Saccharomyces cerevisiae S288C: one gene and its partners. Changing the gene in region 1 together with any one later gene gives a genetic interaction. Each region holds a gene or a part of one and is shown on either strand. Other genes may lie near its edges. The genes, in order: YOP1, SEY1, BBP1 and ICE2.

What was found.
Region 2: mutations in YOP1 (region 1) and SEY1 together harm fitness more than expected from each alone (negative genetic interaction), as found in Saccharomyces cerevisiae (6 studies listed by BioGRID, with this or other methods).
Region 3: of YOP1 (region 1) and BBP1, changing one suppresses a phenotype caused by changing the other (phenotypic suppression), as found in Saccharomyces cerevisiae (one study listed by BioGRID).
Region 4: mutations in YOP1 (region 1) and ICE2 together harm fitness less than expected from each alone (positive genetic interaction), as found in Saccharomyces cerevisiae (2 studies listed by BioGRID).

What each region holds. Positions count from the first base shown.
Region 1 is NC_001148.4:621,005-625,253, reverse strand, and holds YOP1 (Yop1p), read right to left. Parts: upstream 1,728-4,249; coding exon 1,677-1,727; intron 1,544-1,676; coding exon 1,052-1,543; downstream 1-1,051. Other genes in the region: APL4 (AP-1 complex subunit gamma), read left to right, coding at 1-785; YPR027C (uncharacterized protein), read left to right, coding at 3,996-4,249. UniProt on the Saccharomyces cerevisiae protein: Required to generate and maintain the structure of the tubular endoplasmic reticulum network and the vacuole. Induces high curvature in membranes and causes membrane tubule formation. Involved in membrane/vesicle trafficking.
Region 2 is NC_001147.6:642,319-648,107, reverse strand, and holds SEY1 (dynamin-like GTPase SEY1), read right to left. Parts: upstream 3,543-5,789; coding exon 1,212-3,542; downstream 1-1,211. Other genes in the region: SWT1 (mRNA-processing endoribonuclease), read left to right, coding at 1-982; protein GET4, read left to right, coding at 3,776-4,714; polyphosphatase DDP1, read right to left, coding at 4,801-5,367. UniProt on the Saccharomyces cerevisiae protein: Cooperates with the reticulon proteins RTN1 and RTN2 and the tubule-shaping DP1 family protein YOP1 to generate and maintain the structure of the tubular endoplasmic reticulum network. Has GTPase activity, which is required for its function in ER organization.
Region 3 is NC_001148.4:66,065-70,580, reverse strand, and holds BBP1 (Bbp1p), read right to left. Parts: upstream 2,857-4,516; coding exon 1,699-2,856; downstream 1-1,698. Other genes in the region: HFI1 (Hfi1p), read right to left, coding at 1-1,096; cyclin CLN2, read left to right, coding at 3,967-4,516. UniProt on the Saccharomyces cerevisiae protein: Component of the spindle pole body (SPB) required for insertion of the nascent SPB into the nuclear envelope and for the proper execution of spindle pole body (SPB) duplication. Connects the central plaque of the SPB with the half-bridge.
Region 4 is NC_001141.2:191,237-196,066, reverse strand, and holds ICE2 (Ice2p), read right to left. Parts: upstream 2,473-4,830; coding exon 997-2,472; downstream 1-996. Other genes in the region: YIL089W (uncharacterized protein), read right to left, coding at 1-468; rRNA-binding ribosome biosynthesis protein UTP25, read left to right, coding at 2,872-4,830.

The DNA of each region.
Region 1 (4,249 bases):
CATTAAAATTATCTGTGAGGTTCCATGACGCGAAAAATATTGAAAAACTAAGACAACTGATATTGAGCTACACGGATTCCACTGATTTATCACTGCAAATGAAAAGCAATCAATACGAGATATTTTTCAATCAGTCAATTTCTGTGAAGAAGATCATTTTAGAAACAATGCCTAAATTTGAAAAAATTACCGAGGAACAGGATAATGGAAAAGCTCTATCGAAAAACCTTATCTCCAACGAACCAGTTGATCTGCTGTCAGATTTATTGGGTGAGGATAGCAAGGCTGAAAGCAAGGCTTCTACTGGTGACAATGTGAAACCAATTGACATATTAGAAGAGATTTTTGGAGAGAAGAATGACATTGCTCAGGTGCCCAAAAATGCGAACAAGGAAGAATCAATCAATCATTCGTCGGCAGTGGAGGCAAACTCAGGTGTCACCTTACCATTGGATGCCAACAAGATATATGACAGTTCCTCACTGAATGTATATGCTTCCTTGCTCTCTGCAAACTCTGGATTAGCACATTTGGATTTATATTTTCAGGCAAAGTCTTTAATATCTGACTTAAAAACTTTCTGTGCCGTTCCTAAAGCTCAAAAGCTAACACTAGGCCAGTTATATCCATCTTCCACAATAAACGCCAGCCAAATTTGCAAGCAGTCATTGAAAATTTCTGGATCTGGGAAACTGAAGTTAAGAGTTAAGTTGGATTTTCATTTAAATGGCTCTTCATCTATCACCAATGAACAGTTCGATCACAAATTCGATGAAACTCTATAAAAAATGCCTTTAAAATTACAGAACATAACATGATTAATGACCTTGCGTTGGATGGTCTGTCGCGCATATCAAGAGACACGTCACGACACAACACGATGAATAGAAATGCTATCTTCTGGGACACCATAAACGACTCCAAAATATTTTATATGTTAAGTAGCGATATATAACAACTAATAACATATGTACTTATATGCTCTCAATAGAATAGATAACAAAGAGAACAAAAACGAGAGTTTGATTTGAGGATATAGGTGAGTTGCCTCTTAATGAACAGAAGCACCTGTAGCCTTAGAAGCCTCATTGACGGAAGCTCTAATTTCATCCTTTTCTGTCTTGCTAACATCTCTTAGGATATATCTGTCGGTCAATGGGGCTACGATCTTTTGATAGATCATTCTAGCGCCACCAGTTTGAGGCAAGGCAATGTAGATTAAGAAAACGGTTTTCAAAAACCAGTAGAATGGAATCAAATATAGAATTGCCTTGGACCAGAATTCAATGACACTCAAAAATGAAAAGACAATCCAGTAGGTCAAGAGTTGTGTGTCATCGGTGGACGTTGGTGTCTTCAAAGCAACCAACGATAAATATGCTGGCAACACAAACCCAGCAAAATTGGAAAGAATTTCACCTACACCTCCGACGTTAATAAAAATCAAAAGGAGATAAGCGAAACCTAAACCAGCAACTAAATAAGATTTAGGCAAATTAGTTTTATTTTCTAATTGCTGTAAAATTCTATTACCAGAGTACTTCTGTAGAAAAAAATGTAGCAAGGAGGGTGAAAATTAGCTTTCTTGTTAGTATAACTGCTTCGGTTACGTGTGTCGGGTCATTTGGCTGTTTGAACCATGATGACGATGGAACCAATAAAACCATCTTACATACGGTATCGAATTGTTTCATTTGAGAGTGAATACTAGATGCATATTCGGACATGATTGGAGTGCGGTTATGTCTTTGTTTATTTGTTTTCACTACCAATTGCAATTTTAGATTCTTTCTTTCGGAATAACAAGCTTCAAGGGAATGTTTTTTAGTTTTAAATCAAAAAAAATTTTGAAGGACATATTTTTTTTTTTTTCGTTCAACCTTGAAAGGGGTTACGCATACTCCCTTTGACGTGGACAAGAAGAGAGAATAACGGCGCTAAGAAAGCGAACCACGAAAATTCGAGAATGGTGATAAAAAAATAAAGGTTAGAATGCCACACAGCCTTCCAAAGAGTGAATGAAAATCTTTTGACTTGATGTAGTTTTTTTTTTTTCAGGAGGAAGTTTAATCCGGATTGTGATTAAATCAGTACTGCCCCTCCAGCAGCCATATAACCTACTTACTGCGTAACTAGTAATTGCGCTCACCCATCCTATCTATGCAACTCTTCTGAAGGTCTTCTCAAGCACTTAATTTTTGTTTTTCAGGAGATTGACAGGGTTTGTCGCTTGTCTTGGCACTCATTCCAGCACTGATTGGGCAGCTAGTTTGAAGAGTTGCACCAATAAATTAGAACCTCATTAAAGTCATGAATGGACGAGCAAGTAGCAAGTCTTATAAATACTTGAAAACGTGCATGTGATGATGGCATCGCTCCCTGTTGAATTTCTTTTTTTCCGTTGGAAGGTGCACTTGTTGAGCGCATTAAAGTTTTATAAAGCATAGTATTCAGGCTCAAAATAAAAGGGGACAAAACAAAACGTGCCGGTGAAACATATATGTCTTGAGAAAATTATTATAATGTTGTCTTCGTCTCTTACTTTTAGAATGTACTCTTTAAAAGTTAGACGCTTGGACCATTTATAAAGCACAAGAATGCTTGTTTATTTCATTCTGATATGCGGATTTAGCTCAGTTGGGAGAGCGCCAGACTGAAGAAAAAACTTCGGTCAAGTTATCTGGAGGTCCTGTGTTCGATCCACAGAATTCGCATTTATTTTTTCGACCTGCCAACTGCGGAAAGTTGGTTCTTGAACTTGACTGCTCCTTCTCTTATGGAAATATCAATGAAAATATAGACTCAAGTAGGAAGATGAAGGAGTTTTTCAACTTGAATGTCTGACTTTTTTTCAAAATTTTCTTACGCCATTGGCCATCTTTTAATGTCTCCAACAAAAAACCAATAACGGATAATCAATATAAGCGTTGGAAAAGAATTTATCACGGCCAAAATTGTTCCCGTTAAAAGTTCGAAGTTTTAGGGACATAAATTTGTCTAAAACTCATGGAAGCACACTTTGCTTCCATTACGTATTGTATAATATTTCCTACTATATCGTGGACTGATACTTTCTTGAGATATCTACATACTTTCTCCGTCAGAGTCAGTCATCCCACCTCAGAGTTTACTAAAAGAGGTCAAAAAGAGGGAAGCAGACAGACTAAGGTAGATGTCCAAAGTTGACAAATAAATATCTGGCTCCACAGTTTTTCAAAATCTCTTGATGATCCCTTGCATTTAAAGGACCGTTATTTGCCGACTACGGACAGAGAAGTTAAATCTGAAAAGAAATGAAAGAAGTGTACAATGACAACAAAAACGATGAAGTAACGTCTTTTTTTTTTTTTGATTACTCCCAAATTCAGTTCCCCCGTTCTTGAATTGGACTACCGATGTTTATGAGCTGGGCATTTTCTCAGGAATTATATAGTATGTTAAGTGTGTAACAAATTGAGATGAATATATACGTGCTGGCTTACGCATTATGAAACACACTAGTAGAATAAGTGTTTCGGATGGGAAGTTTATTGATACTAAACCTAACGTGTCTTCCAAACGAACAAATAATAATGTAGGTTTCAAATTATATCAGCGACTAACTTCGGCGGCTATATGGACAGTCACTAAAGTGTTTTGAAGATGTTTTCTTTCTGTGGTCACGACGGTAGCCTCAACTGCCTAGAAATTTACAAAACAAAATAGTTTACAAAATTAAAGCACTTTTCAAGCGCCGTGCATATTAGTTTTTGTGGTACTGAAAGTTCGGTTACATGATGTGCGGCAAACAACTTTTTGATGTTGGCTAGCAGATCGAGATTCTGTTGATGATGGCAACGTTGAAAAAGCGTTGATCACAAGAATTAGAAAGTACTAATTTTCCATTACTTCTAACTAAAGAGGGAATTACCATTAGTGTAATTCACAAACATTTGTAAAAAAACAATCATCATAACGTACTATTCATAAACATATAAAGCGCCAGATAAAAAGAAATGGTTGGTATTTACAGAATACTTGCTTCGTTCGTCCCACTCCTGGGTCTTCTTTTTGCATTCCATGATGATGACATGATAGATACTGTTACAATCATCAAAACTGTATATGAAACGGTGACATCAACTTCTACTGCACCTGCACCTGCCGCTACAAAATCTGTTAGTGAAAAGAAACTGGATGACACTAAACTAACACTTCAAGTAATTCAAACTATGGTATCATGTTTTTCTGTAGGTGAAAATCCGGCCAA
Region 2 (5,789 bases), on another chromosome or scaffold:
TGTAGTCGACACCAACTTTATTATTTCGCATCTAAACACTTTAGAAAAATTGAGATCACTGTCCAGCACTTATCATCATTTGATTATTGTACCAACCACCGTAATCCAAGAACTGGACGGACTAAAAAAGAGCCCTGATATTGCTAGGGACAATGACGATACAACTAATCAGGAACATGATAGGACAATAGGCACATTGGCCAGATGGGGGAACGACTGGATTTATAAGAATCTAGCCAATTTAGATTCCGGTTTAATAGGTCAAAAATTGAAACAAAGCTTGAATCCAGGCAGTTTAAAGGATGACTCGATATTGGACTGTTGCTTGTACTTCAAAGAGATTTTAAATTGTTTTGTTATTTTGCTTTCGAATGATAAGAATCTTTGTACAAAGGCATTAACTGAAGATATATTAACTGTTTCATTTAGGAAGAACATGGATGCGAAAATAATTGCAATGAGAGCATATGAAGAAAACCAACTGAGATTTGCTAATCTGCGTGACTCTACAGTAAATAATTTCGATCAGAATGTCACATCATATGCTCATATTCCTGGAATAGAAACGCCCCCTTTGCAATTCGATAAAGTCTCACAAAATGTGTTTGAGCAAGTAAAAGAAACTATTTTCTTTGCTATTGACCACACTTTAAGAAAGGAATATGGTGAAGATATTGGATTCATAGATTACAACCCAGATAAATTAACTACCATAGAAAACGCTTCGAATTACATTTATTTGTTTTGGGTGTCTGTATTTTCGGAACTTTTCACTTGTTCAAAGATAAAGAAGAATGAGTGGAAGAGCTTACCAACAGTTTTGAAATCAAAACCGACAAATCTGAATGACTTAAGAACATTTGAACAATTTTGGGAGACTGTATTGCATTTTTTATTCAGCAAATTCACAAATGAGGAGAAACAATCTTTAGAGAAACAGATTCATGAATGGAAAACATCTATCAATGCTATATCAACCTGAAATGTTTTGCTTAGTGTAAATCTATCAGATTTATTGAAGCCACTCACACAACTCATAAGCTTGCGATATGCATTTGCATATATTTTTAATGTCATATAAATAGTTCCCTATAGTTATATACAAACACACAGACACGTTAGGAGAACAGTAATTATAATAATAACTATAATAACAAAAAAGTAAACACGGTAAATTGAAATAAATTATTCGATCAAAAAATATTTTCATATCATTTTTCTTTTTGCTCGTTTTTTGAGAAATCTTTCATTTCAAAAGATTCCTTCACTTCATGATCTTCAACGACAAATTGCCTTAGTTTATCCTTTATTGCAGTTCTTGTTTCACCAACTGCACTTTGAACAACATTAACAACAGGGCCCCAGAGGCCGAACTTATGAATAACAAAAAAGGTTGCACCTAAGATCAAGGTAAGGGTTACAAATAAGGGGTTTCTTATGACAGCCACGAATTCGTTCCACCCTAATACGGCTAGCAAAACGTAAATCCAAGGTGGAATATGCGTTCTAGTAGTGATGATAGACCTTTTCGAATCCAGAACAGTAATGTTAATCTGCCTGCGGAATTGATCTAAAACATTCTCCTTTTGCAATTCAGTCAAGATGTGTGCGAAACGACGGGAATGAAACACACCTTCGTTGTCCCGATATATTTCGTTGTCCTCGCCGCTTTCCTCTTCAGCCATTGGTACATCAGGAATAATTTCAACGTTATCTGAGGTTACAGCAAGTGAAAGAACCTCAAAAACTTCCAGGGCATGTTCTTTTGCAACACGGAATGCCCCATCAATCTCTTCTTCTGTTTTCCACAATCTTGGAGAACCTTCAGCATCATATCTGAATACATCTTCAAACCTGTCTCTCAATATACTAACAATCGTATCTATTTTCAGGTAGTCATGTACTGTGGTATCCAAGGTTCTCCACGCCAATATTCTAATATTTTTGTAAATCTTCGCGTTTTCGCTCTCTGAAAGTCCAATTTTAAAATCATATTTATCTTTTTCCACTTGATACGCAGATATATTGTCTTTGATAGTAGATTCAAAATCGTTCATTATATCATCCCAAACCTTTTTGGATGGATGTGATAGTAAATGAATCACATGATCCTTTAATTCGGGAACCAGATTTTTTTTAATACGACCGATTTTTGCTTTCAATTCAGCATCACGTAGTTGCTTGATTCTTTCTTCAATATCGTCGGAAAATTTGCAGGTAATCTCTTCGTTTGATATTAGTAGCCCTAACTTTTTGAAGGTCTCCATTGATTCGTTAAATTCTTTCTCAATCTTACTCTTACCTGCCGCCACACTTTCTACAAAAGAGGTAGTAGCTTTGTCTCTAGAAGACACCTCCAATTTTAAATCGTCCCATAACTTTTCCATTAATGATTCCAAGAACTCATTAATTGTACCTGAAATATGTGAATTCAGCTTTGTATTTAAAGCTTCTCGTTTCTCCATATAAACGTTTCTTGCATAGCGCGATGCTTGTTCATCATATTTTGTCAGACATTCTTCTTTTAGCTTCACTAGCTGAGATGTTAAAGATCCCAAGTTACCCTTTAAAGGAGCAATCGATTCATCATATTTTGAAATGAACTCTTCTAGAGCTTCATTAGATATTTCTTCAGTTTTAAATCTAGCAACCAGAATTTGCTGAGTTGGAAGATCTAAATCCTTGTTACGTTCAATTTGATCCCAACAATTTTCTGCGTACATAGTCCAACCATCTAATGGCAACCTATGGTGATATTGAGGTTTGAAATAATAGTTTTCCGTACCTTTCATCACAAACGAATCACCTAATTTCTTGACATCCTGGGTAAATTTGTCTTCTTGCAACAACTTATGAGCTAGCCCGACAAACTTTAAATCGAAATAATCATACAGGCTAGAACCCTCACAACCAGCAGGTTTACTTAACTCTGTCCATATTTTTTCCAATTCTCTCGTAACGGAATCACTCAAACTCGAGAGTGGAGTCACACCTACATGATCTCTAATTACAAAAAGTAACAGCACCTTGTGGTCATTATCATTCTTGCCAAATAGGGAAAGGTTGACCTCAAAAACTGTTTTTAATAAAGCCATATTATTACCTTGATATAGCCCAATTTGCTGCTCCCACATATTAACTATAAGAACTTCAGATACTGCAATGGCAAATAAAGCGGCTTTTCTCTCAAAATCTTGGTCTTCACCTCTTTCTGAACCATCGGAGCCCTCAACATCTAGCACAAAAATATCTGGACGATCATTATCGATTTCAATAGTTGTATTAACCTGTTTAGTGTGAGCCAACCAAATGCCTTTAGTAGTCTGCTGCCTTTTCACCTGAGCATCCATGGTATCAAAGTTGGTGTTAAACAAGACGTTAAGTAAAGTCGATTTACCACTCGATTGAGAACCGAAAACTGAGATGACATGGTAATCTAGACCAACATCACGATTTCCAATACATTGTTGAAAATATTGTAATGCACTTTGATGAAATTCCTTCTCTTCATCTATCAACTGAATAGCAGGTCTATCAGCCATGACTAAAGTATGTCAACCGTCGAGTGAGTTAGTAGCCCGTTTGTTGAAATAAGTCAATAATTATTTACCATCAAAATACACCTTTCAGTATTTTGTTCGTTTTGTCGCTCTTCGTTAAGGTAACAAACAATGGGAAAAAAAGTGAAAGGAAAGTCAAAAAAATGAAATAATAACATGTGCGGTAAAACAACCAAGTAAACATCATAAAGGGACATAAATAATAATAACAAGCTATGGTTCCTGCTGAATCTAATGCTGTACAAGCGAAACTCGCTAAAACCTTACAAAGATTCGAAAATAAGATCAAAGCTGGAGATTATTACGAAGCGCATCAAACGTTGAGAACTATTGCTAATAGATATGTTAGAAGTAAATCATACGAGCATGCCATAGAACTAATTAGTCAAGGGGCCCTTTCATTTTTAAAGGCGAAGCAGGGCGGTTCAGGCACGGATTTGATCTTCTATCTTTTAGAAGTTTATGATTTAGCGGAAGTTAAAGTTGATGACATCTCAGTTGCTAGATTGGTTAGATTAATAGCCGAATTGGATCCTAGCGAGCCCAATTTAAAGGACGTTATTACTGGTATGAACAATTGGTCTATCAAATTTAGTGAATACAAATTTGGAGATCCTTACTTGCACAACACCATTGGTAGCAAACTATTAGAGGGAGATTTCGTTTATGAAGCTGAGAGATATTTTATGTTAGGTACACATGATTCAATGATCAAATATGTCGATTTACTATGGGACTGGTTATGCCAAGTTGATGATATCGAAGATAGCACGGTGGCTGAGTTCTTCAGCAGATTGGTTTTCAACTATTTATTCATCTCTAACATATCATTTGCACATGAATCAAAAGACATTTTTTTGGAAAGATTTATTGAGAAATTTCACCCCAAGTACGAGAAAATTGATAAAAATGGTTATGAAATAGTTTTTTTTGAAGATTATTCCGACCTAAATTTTTTGCAATTGTTGCTAATTACCTGTCAGACTAAGGATAAGAGCTATTTCTTGAATTTAAAGAACCATTATTTAGATTTTTCTCAAGCTTACAAAAGTGAGTTAGAATTTTTGGGCCAGGAATATTTCAATATTGTTGCTCCTAAACAAACGAATTTCCTACAAGACATGATGTCGGGATTCCTGGGCGGATCGAAGTGAAAAGAGCATATTTGCGAAGGAATAGATAAATATGTTTGCGGTGGCTTGACGACCATGACGTATATACATATATATGTATGTGCTAGCTATTTGTCGTCTTTAATGATAGCAGACCTATTAAGGGCCTCCAACAATTCAGGCCTCTTGGCGTCTATCAAGTTTTGTTTAGCTTCTGTATAAGAGTATAGCTTTCTATGTCTTTTGTGACATTCCGGAAATTTATCAAGGAGATTTTCAATCTCTAATTCATAAAAATGAAATTCGGTTCTTGGCGGGTGCTTTGCTACTTCTGAATCTTTTCGAGAGTTCTCGAATTGCTTAATGTCTTTGTTCCAGTCCTTAGGGGGTCTCATGTCTTCAACTGTACCCAAATTGGCGACAATTTTACCTATGCAACCAGCTTCCTCCCAAGTTTCTCGTTGGGCAGTCGTCTCGTAATTAGGCTCGTCTTTCTCAACGCCACCTTTGGGGACAATCCATCTTTTCTTGTGTGCAGAAGAAGTAATCATGAGAACTTGCTTCTTGTCGGGTGTTAAACATATGCAGCCAGCAACTAATCTTGCACCTGTAACGGGTGAGTAAACCTGGTTTTCTCTTCCTTCACGTGCTGTCTCAGAACGTACTGGACCATGATTATCCGCGGTTTTGCCCATTTTGTGTTTCCCCACGCTCTTATACTCCTACGTACTCACTGTTCCTGACCTTTCAGGCGTTATTTCAGTGTGATTTCATGTCTTAAAGTTGAGGCTTCCCTTTACACTATTTACCTCCGCGAGACGTTTGAGAATTAAGCCGCACGTGCTCGCCGCAGATGTTCTTTCAACGACAAGAGAACACCATGCTCCTACTATTTACGCATTATTTACACAGTATACCTTTCTGATGATGAAGTTTGAAGGTTTAAATTCTGGGCAGTAGCTGTTTTTACGGTTGTCTCAATATTTCTCATTCTGCTTTATAATCACGGGAGTATGACAGCATTACCAATCTCTATCAAGATGAAGAAAGATGAGCATGATCGTTTTAAGCTCACATGGAAGCTGTAGTTATTACCAGTATATCCTCTTTATATATA
Region 3 (4,516 bases), 560 kb from region 1:
CTTCATCGGCACATTCATCCTCATTTTTATCATCATCTAACTGCTTAATTTTGGCATCGCGTTTATCAGCAGCCATTTCTGATACGGATTTATAAAGCCCACTCTCATTCAAATCATAATAATCTGAATATTTCTTCCTTCTATAACGAACTGTATCAATAGTAAACTCTATTATATTTTTTAGATATTGATCTAGGGCCAATGATATAAGCTCTACGCAACGTGCGTCCACTGTGCCGACTAACCCATGTTCTCTTGCTATACCAACCATTCTTAAGTAAAACGAATCCGTGTCTGGTAAAGAATGGCTTTCGCTCGCTAAAGGAACGTTGAATCCATTCATTATATCTTGTGACCATTCCAGCGGCGTTTTTAAATTATTGCTCTTGACACGCTTCAAACTTTCTGGATTGGTTACAATGGGAATTTTGGGTATATTATTTAATCTGGCTTGAAATACAGAGCAAAAAATGAAGCCTCTTTTGCCGGCCTCTTTCGTGATCATTTTAAGTCTATTTCGATCATTTAGAGGTAACGACATGACAATTTTTTTATAGACTTCAATTTGAGAGTTATGCTTATTGATTCTTTTTAGTTTATTGTTTGGATTGTTGCTTCCATTGCCAAATCCCCAAGAACTCTCATTACCGTTTCTCCCAAGAGGGTTTTCACGTAATGAATTAGCAAAAATCCCTAATAAAAGTTGGTTATGAAGTCGTACTAAACTATGGTGATGATTTGTATTTGATTTTTCTAAGCTTGCAGCGCTTGGTGAAAATACCAGCTCTAATTCATTAGAAAGTTCCTTTCTGGATAACTTCCCTAAAATGAAAAGACTGATGATCTGAGCATATTTCGTCCAGCTTTCTTTTCCCAATAGTGAGGTTAATTCTTCGATCATGGCACCCAAATCAATTCTCTGATTTGGTCCCTGAGGCTCCGCAGTTTCATTGTTACCATTGTTAGGCTCGGTATGATTACTGACGGCAGGACTACCAATTAGGCCCGGCTTCATATATGCATTCGTGGAAGCTGGCGAAGCAGCTGGATAAGTTGGCTGCAGAGGTTTAGGTGCTGGCGATTGTATAGCTGACATGATAGAAGAAATCAAAACTACTGGGCTTGTTTTCCCTATATTTTTATTGAATTTTTATTACCACTTATAGCTCAAAATTTATACTGTGGGAAAAATCACGTGCGAGAAAGTAAGCCCTATCCAATGATGATAACGAACAGACGAATGAAAAGAGCAACGATACTTTGTTAATCTGTTGTAAGTTCGATGTTCAAGGCACAAGTAGACAGAGACAATTTCGCGTTGCACCTACTTCTATCCTGAATTTTATCTTTTTTATTTTAACAAATTTATGTCACATCGTAACTTCAAGTTTCACTTTTTTTGTTCAAAATCGCAACCTGATAATGAAGAAAAAATGGGCGGGAATTACAGCTCGTGTTGAGTGATGATAATAAGAACGTATCTTTTTTTATTCCGTTATCTATATAATGTACATACCTAAGTAGTTAACACATTATCATTGCTATCATGACGTATTTTTAATGTTACAGTGGGAGAAACGTGTCAGCTTTTCTGCTTCAGCGTTCTATGAATCCGTCTATATTTTTTAAGTAATCAGTGTCCCATGAATGCGAATTAGAGTCGTAACTGTTATTTCCATTGTGGAATGGAGTCCTGTCCTATTGTCCTGTTGAAAAAATATTCGAACCAGCAGAAGTATCTTTTCTCTCGTTATTACGAAGGCTAAGCTGTAATAATAAATCATGTATTTCGGATTCATAATTGTCCCGCTGCATGTCCTTTTCTATTTGCAAATTGGTATATTTCAGCTCTAAATCGGATAGTCTTTGCTTCAATGTTTGTATTTCAAAGTTTTTCAAATCCTCCTCCTGATACAGCCGTTCCCTAGAAGTGGCCAGTTCAGCCTCATGACTGATCGTTTGATCAAGGACCTTTTTCAAACTCTTGTACTTCTGACCTAATGAATAATAATTTTCAAAGAGTGTCTTAGATTTCTTCAACTCGTTGACCAGTTCTGCTCTCATTTCCTCGTATGCTTGCTTATAAGTTTGCTCATTCCTGTGGAATTGCTCACGCTGCTCTCTAACATCCTCACACAAATCTTCCAGGTCTCTACTGTTCAAGTCCATTTGTGCAAAAAGATCAAAATATGCCTTTTTATACTCTCTATTCTTGTGGCAAGCATCTTCGTCCCGGACATAGTAATTGTCTATTTCATCACGTTTTGTTAAGGGAGATGGAAATTTGCCTGGTATATCTTTAACCGATAACTTATAGGGCGATCTTCTAACCTCATTAACTCCATCCTTGTTAAATAATTTCGAGAGCAAAGGGTCGTCTTCCTGAGGTGGTATAAAGGGTATCTGCGAATTGGAAAGCTCATTTATAGTTCTCCTTTTTGTGTGTAGTCTGTGACCAAATGTATCCGTAGGTTCGTTACGAAGTGGTTCTCTCGGTACTATCGGAGCAGGACTTCGTAAAGATCGTATTCTCTCTTTGCTGTGGTGGTCACCGTTAACAATTGAGTTAAAGCCGTTCTCGTTGTACTCTGGGAGTAACTCGTACTTCCTATGGAGCGTTGAATCCAGACCAGACCACGAATTTGACCTCGATAAGTTTGTACTCCTCCTGTTGGAGTCATTTCCAAACTTCATAGAAAAATTTGTGTCGTCTTGGGCATACCTAGATCGGTCTCTTCGTTCTTCCTGATCTTTATATTTCATTGAAGGTGATATGTCCGTACCAAACAGCGCATCCTTAGTCCATTTGAAAAGACCAAAAATGCCCCCTCCGCCCGTGTTGTCTTCCTGATTCATTGTTCAGTAGTCATTCGCCTCTATGCTCCTTCGAAGATTGACTTTTTTCGTTGTTTTGATTTCCTCGTCTTCAGTCTCTTTATGTTGTATTAGTTTTCAAAGTGTCAAGTTTTTCGTGATTTTCACCGAGCGACACAAAAACGGGTCGCGTCAGAAATAATTTTAAAAGAGCAGCGTAATATACCGCTACAGAAAAATTGGTTCAAGTATCCATTTTTAAGCATCTTTGCTTCTATTTACTCTTGAAAATATTCCTCCAGTATCGCCTGTGTTGGAGTGCGGTAACTTTTATTGTTTTCTCTACGAGTGAAAGGCATTTTTTGAAACCACTATTCGTTTCCTTCTGTAAGTTATCTCATCTTTTTCGTATCCTCCGCACTTTTACCCTGAAATGCGAACTAAAGCAACTATACATTGTTAATAATGATACTGAGGTTCAAAAGTGCCAAGTTATCAATTCATGCGCGCTTTACCCGGCTCCATCTTTCCGAAAACGGAAATCATCGCGAAATTTGTCTCAACGGAAGTACACGAAATTCGTCCCGCTGAACCTCAAAACTGCGTGTTCTAGTCACGAAACGCGCCAAAAACCGTTATGTTTCCGCATGCGGATACCTAGCGAAGAGCACATTTGGCGTAGCCTGTTAAGTATAACTGCTAAAAATTGAAATGAACACCAACTGAAACAACTGTTGGCCCTTTTTGAGGATCTAACCTGCGAAATGTTGATCTGACAGGCCTACTGAAAAACGGAAAGGAAAAAAGGCCTGCGCAAACGCAGAACGCAGATCCGCCTTCTATTTGCGTATCGCACGCAGCCTCTGGCTACTTGTTTAACTTACTATCTCTTTCATATATAAAAAAATAGCAATCGACTCTGGTAACTATTATGCTCCTCTTACTGGTTTTTTAGTGAATTGGCAATAGATAATATCAAGGACAACTTACTTTTATTTTAACATCTACTTTACTTCATCGTCAAATTTTCTTCTTATATACAGCATTGCTAGACTCTATAGCTGCCAATTCATTCGCTTACCACATCATAATTTGCATACAAAAGAAAATCTTTTCTTTTTTCCATTCATTCATTAAATTTAACGACAGACAATGGCTAGTGCTGAACCAAGACCCCGTATGGGACTCGTCATCAATGCTAAACCGGACTACTATCCGATTGAGCTATCTAATGCAGAATTACTTTCTCACTTCGAAATGCTGCAAGAATACCACCAAGAAATCTCCACCAATGTTATTGCTCAATCATGTAAGTTCAAACCTAATCCAAAACTAATAGACCAGCAGCCTGAAATGAACCCCGTGGAAACAAGGTCCAACATTATCACTTTTTTGTTCGAGCTGTCTGTGGTCACTCGAGTGACAAATGGTATTTTTTTTCATTCAGTTAGATTATATGACCGCTATTGTTCCAAGAGAATCGTGTTACGGGACCAAGCCAAATTGGTTGTCGCTACTTGTCTCTGGTTGGCTGCTAAAACTTGGGGCGGTTGTAATCACATCATCAATAATGTAGTCATCCCTACTGGCGGAAGATTTTATGGTCCCAACCCAAGGGCACGTATACCTCGACTCTCTGAACTAGTTCATTACTGTGGTGATGGTCAGGTCTTTGATGAATCAATGTTTTTACAAATGGAAA
Region 4 (4,830 bases), on another chromosome or scaffold:
GAGTCTGTTTAGATCAACAGTCTGATCAGTTTTAAAGAACTTATTAATCTTTACCAACGAATAAACCCCAAAACAGAACGTTCCTAGACATAGGAGTGAATGTTTGAATTTGAACCACTTGGGGTGGTGAGCGTTTGCATTACAGCGAGAGCACGAAAATTTCGAGCACCGTTTTGTTTTCCTTTTGAAGTAGTGCTTCCCAAAGTTACCATCTTCTAGCAGTAGGAGTTGGTGCGTAGCAAAAATAAACAGTGATATCAAATCAAAGACAAGTTGTACCTTCAAAAACTTTGCAACTTTTGGATGCTGCTTCTTTAAAGGATGCAATGGCGGAATTAGAAATGTGTCAACTATATAGACGATATCGGCAACTCTTGATAATTTTTTAACCATTATAAAAAATCTAGATCGGGGTACTTCAGTTTGGTCTATTGCGACACTCGATTCCAATTCCCTCGTACGTTGCATTCCCAAATTTAAGAATGGATTCTTCTCATTATTCACTTTTCTAAGAGGGAAAGAATAATAATCCAAGGATGAAGATCATCTTAAGTACCTCTTATCGTTGTGATAAGAGAAGAAAAAGGGTTCTTGGAAATTAGCAAAACAGAAAAAAAAAAACCGAAATAAAATTATCTAGAATAATCTGCATCGGCTTCAGGTTAAAATCTACCACGTAATAAAAGTAGTATTTCAGGGAAATGTTATATATTTATATATTTATGTGTCTACATATTAGAGTATGAGTTAAAATGTTCATTGTATTTATTAGAAAATAGTGGTGAGCGTAAGGGATTTTCACTATGAACGTGCAAGGGACTAATGCAAATAATAACAAAAAAAGAAACTAACCAAATGTAAAAATGGTTCAGGAATGGCACTTAAAACAGATATCATCTATCACTTAGTTATAAGTCAGTTGGTATTTCACCTTCCTTTTTGTCTTCGCGTATTTGGCAAAGCTGGTAATGCGGCTCTTTTGACAATGCATCAGCTTCAACTACCAGAACCTATTAATTCTGTAGCGTATACCAAAATAGTACAGAAAATGTTGCACCAGTTCCAAAATCCCCATGAATCTACTATAATTTCTGGTTGATCTACGCCAAACCACTTTTCACTGCAACCCCATATGCACAGGTCTTTCTTTAGCTCACCTGAATATTGTAAAATCAGGTGAGTATACATAGCAATTAATATGCAAGGACTGTACCAATACAATCCCTTCATGATCCTGCGACTCTTGCGCAACTGTTTGTCATTTTTTCTTTGTAATGCTGGAATAATCCTCGTTGCCGAGTAAAACATCAGAACTCTAAAGCATAAATTGATTACTATAGCTGGGGAAACTGATTCGCTTGCCATCTTAATTGTAACTTGACAAAATTCATTAATGGATAGCGGAACACTAAAGGTGAAATTCTTGAAAAATTTCCAAAATGGTTTAGATATCAAGGATACTTTTTCGAATGATAGAATGCTAATGAGTTTATCATGAAAATCACCGGTTTTCTTTCTTCCTCTAGGAATAAAGGACCCCCATAACACCTCTGCATTTTTCAATATGACATTATGAAAGTAGCACAAAAGATTGTCAGCTGTGGGCAGATTTCTTTGATGTTTCTGCCAGACGTCTTTGAACAAATTTAAAATTTCATCAGTCGCGGTAGTAGCTAATTTGGGGGAAATTTCATAAATACAACGAACAATATACGCAAAAAATAAAGAGCTCTCTATGACGGATCCTTTTTGACTCACAATACCATACAACCCCAGTCCACATACCATAGACAAAACAAGTCCTAATAAGGACGCCGTTTGGATGGATAACGGCCATATGGGGGTGACATAAATCCGATACAAATAGTACAGCGATGCGGTAATCACACCTCCGGAGGTTAACAATGAGGAAATAATCCACGTGTTTGAATTCAAGTCATTTGATAACCATCTATTAGTTTCCCCGACGGCCTGAATGGCTAAAATAGTGAAAAAACCTTCCGATAGAGTAAAAAAAGGTGTGGACTTGGTAAGCACGAATTGCCACGGTTGTACAACAAATCGATAGTAGTAATAATATAAGACGTAGTTAATTTGATTGGAATTCAAGCTATTTTTCAAAGCTTCCAGGAACGACTCCGACTCATTATATTTATTTTTCAGAACGTTTCCCAACTCATCATTAGAAAATCCAGACAAAAACAGGTATAGCAAAGATGCAATGATAAAATGTTGTGAGTAATACAGACAGTTGGTAAAAAAAATGTATAGTCTTCCTCCATGTCGTCTTGCCAACACGTTAAGAGTCGTAGTTATGAAATATAAAGTGAACAGTGTCACCGTGAAGGAAAGCCCGCATTCCAAACCACCAACTTTAAACGAGATTGGAATTGAAAGTAGTGTGAATAACAGATAGAAACATGCTGCGCAGATTCGTCCACTCTGCATGAAGCTTTTGGACAAACTGGTCATCGTTGCCTAATCTTTAGCGTGATCGGCCACAAACAGCACCTCTCTAATAGATCTAAGCAATTACGCGATGGGCTGAGGGGAGCAAAACGGAAAAAGAAGCTTCACGAATACTATAAGATCCACCAACACTTTACGCACAGCCCTTCCAGTATCACTACACCTCGATCCTTTACCTATGTTCATCTTCTCATCAATCATCTCTCCGAAACCAGTAACCGCTCCAGTCCCTTGCTTCGCTTCAAGCTGATGCGATTCCTCGTGTACCATGATCTGAAAAATTTTTCCTTCGCAATACTACTATAATTTAGCTCATCGCATATTTTGCAATAATATAATACAGGGAATAAACTGCATTGGTTCAGTGAGACGGTGGTATAATTGCGAAGTGACCAAATTGTAATGAGTGACAGTTCTGTGAGGGAAAAGAATGATAATTTCCGTGGCTATCGGAAAAGAGGAAGACAAGAACTGAGGAAGATTAAAAGATCTTCTGCCAGAACTGAAGGCGGAAGCACAGAAACATTAGAGGACGTAGCAGAAGATATTGACCATAGATCCGATGAGGATGAAGTGTCCGATGTCGACAGTGGCGATGATTTCGATATTGAGGATGAAGAGGGTAAAAAGGAAAAAGTTTATGACGCTTTATTGACGATTCTCAAATCTGAACATCCAGAGCCAAAAAGAAGAAGGCGAGAGGCTGACGAGAGTAACAAAGCTCCTGCCGAAGTTGGGGAGGATGAGCACGAAAATACAGAACATGGACCAGTGGATGATCAATTGGAGATAGAGAATGGCCTTTTGGGTAATCACGAGGATGATAACGACGATGACAGCAGTGGAGACGAAAAAGATATAGACAGTGAAGATGAGCAAGATCCTTTCGAGTCTCATTTCAACCAAGTTCCGGAGAAATTCGTTGATAAGTTGTCGAATGCTTTCAAGACCAAAAGTGTAAAATACAAATCCGTAAAGGGCTCACTAAGTGACAGTGAATCATATATATATGCTAAACCGGTAGTAATTGGTGAGGAAGCATTGGTGGAAAGTCCGTACAGGTCATCATCTATATATTCATACTTTTTGAAACAAAGGCTAAAAGTGCAAAATGGACTATTGGATAAAAAAACTGATCCATTGACTGCTTTGCAAAAAAAATTAGTAGACCCCATGTTTCAGTATAAAGACATATTATACGAGTATGACTCCTACGAAAAGGACGAAGACGAGTACAGAGATTTATATGCTTTGCATGTTTTGAATCACATCTACAAGACAAGAGATAGAATCTTGAAAAATAATCAAAGATTACAGGATAACCCAGACACTGAACACCTAGATCAAGGTTTTACAAGACCAAAAGTGTTAATTGTAGTCCCTACTAGAGAGGTGGCGTACCGCGTTGTAGATAAGATAATTTCAAAATCTGGTATAGATCAGGTTGACAAGAAGGGAAAGTTCTACGACCAATTCCGTGACGACTCCTTACCTCCAAAGTCCAAACCAAAATCTTTCCAACACATATTTAGGGGGAACACCAACGATTTTTTTGTTGTCGGTCTCAAATTCACAAGAAAGGCTATAAAACTTTATAGCAATTTTTACCAGTCTGACATTATTGTATGTTCGCCATTGGGTATTCAAATGATCTTAGAAAATACAGATAAAAAAAAGAGGCAGGACGATTTTTTGTCCTCAATAGAGTTGATGGTGATTGATCAATTACATTCAATAGAATACCAGAACATATCTCATATTTTCACCATCTTTGACCATCTTAACAAAATCCCGGATCAACAACATGAAGCTGACTTTAGCAGAATTCGGATGTGGTACATTAATGAACAAGCTAAGCTCTTCAGACAGACAATGGTATTCACAAAATACATCTCGCCAGCGGCTAATTCATTAATCAATGGTAGATGCCGTAACATGGCAGGAAGATGGAAGAATCACAAGGTAATAGGATCAGAAAACTCCAGTATTGGGCAATCCGGTTTGAAAATCAGGCAAATCTTTCAAAGATTTGACATTATTGGGAATTCGATTATTGAAGAGCCTGACTACAGATTTAAATTTTTTACAAGTGTCATCATTCCTGGTATTGTCAAATCCACCGGGTATGAAGACGGAATACTGATTTACATTCCTGATTACACTGATTTCATTCGTATTAGAAACTACATGAAAGAGAAGACGACGATTTTATTTGGGGATATAAATGAGTACTCTAGCCAAAGACAGCTCAATGCAAATAGGTCATTGTTTCAACAGGGGCGTCTAAAAGTTATGTTGTATACGGAAAGACTGCACCATTATAGACGTTATGAAATCAAGGGTGTCAAGAGCGTCGTTTTT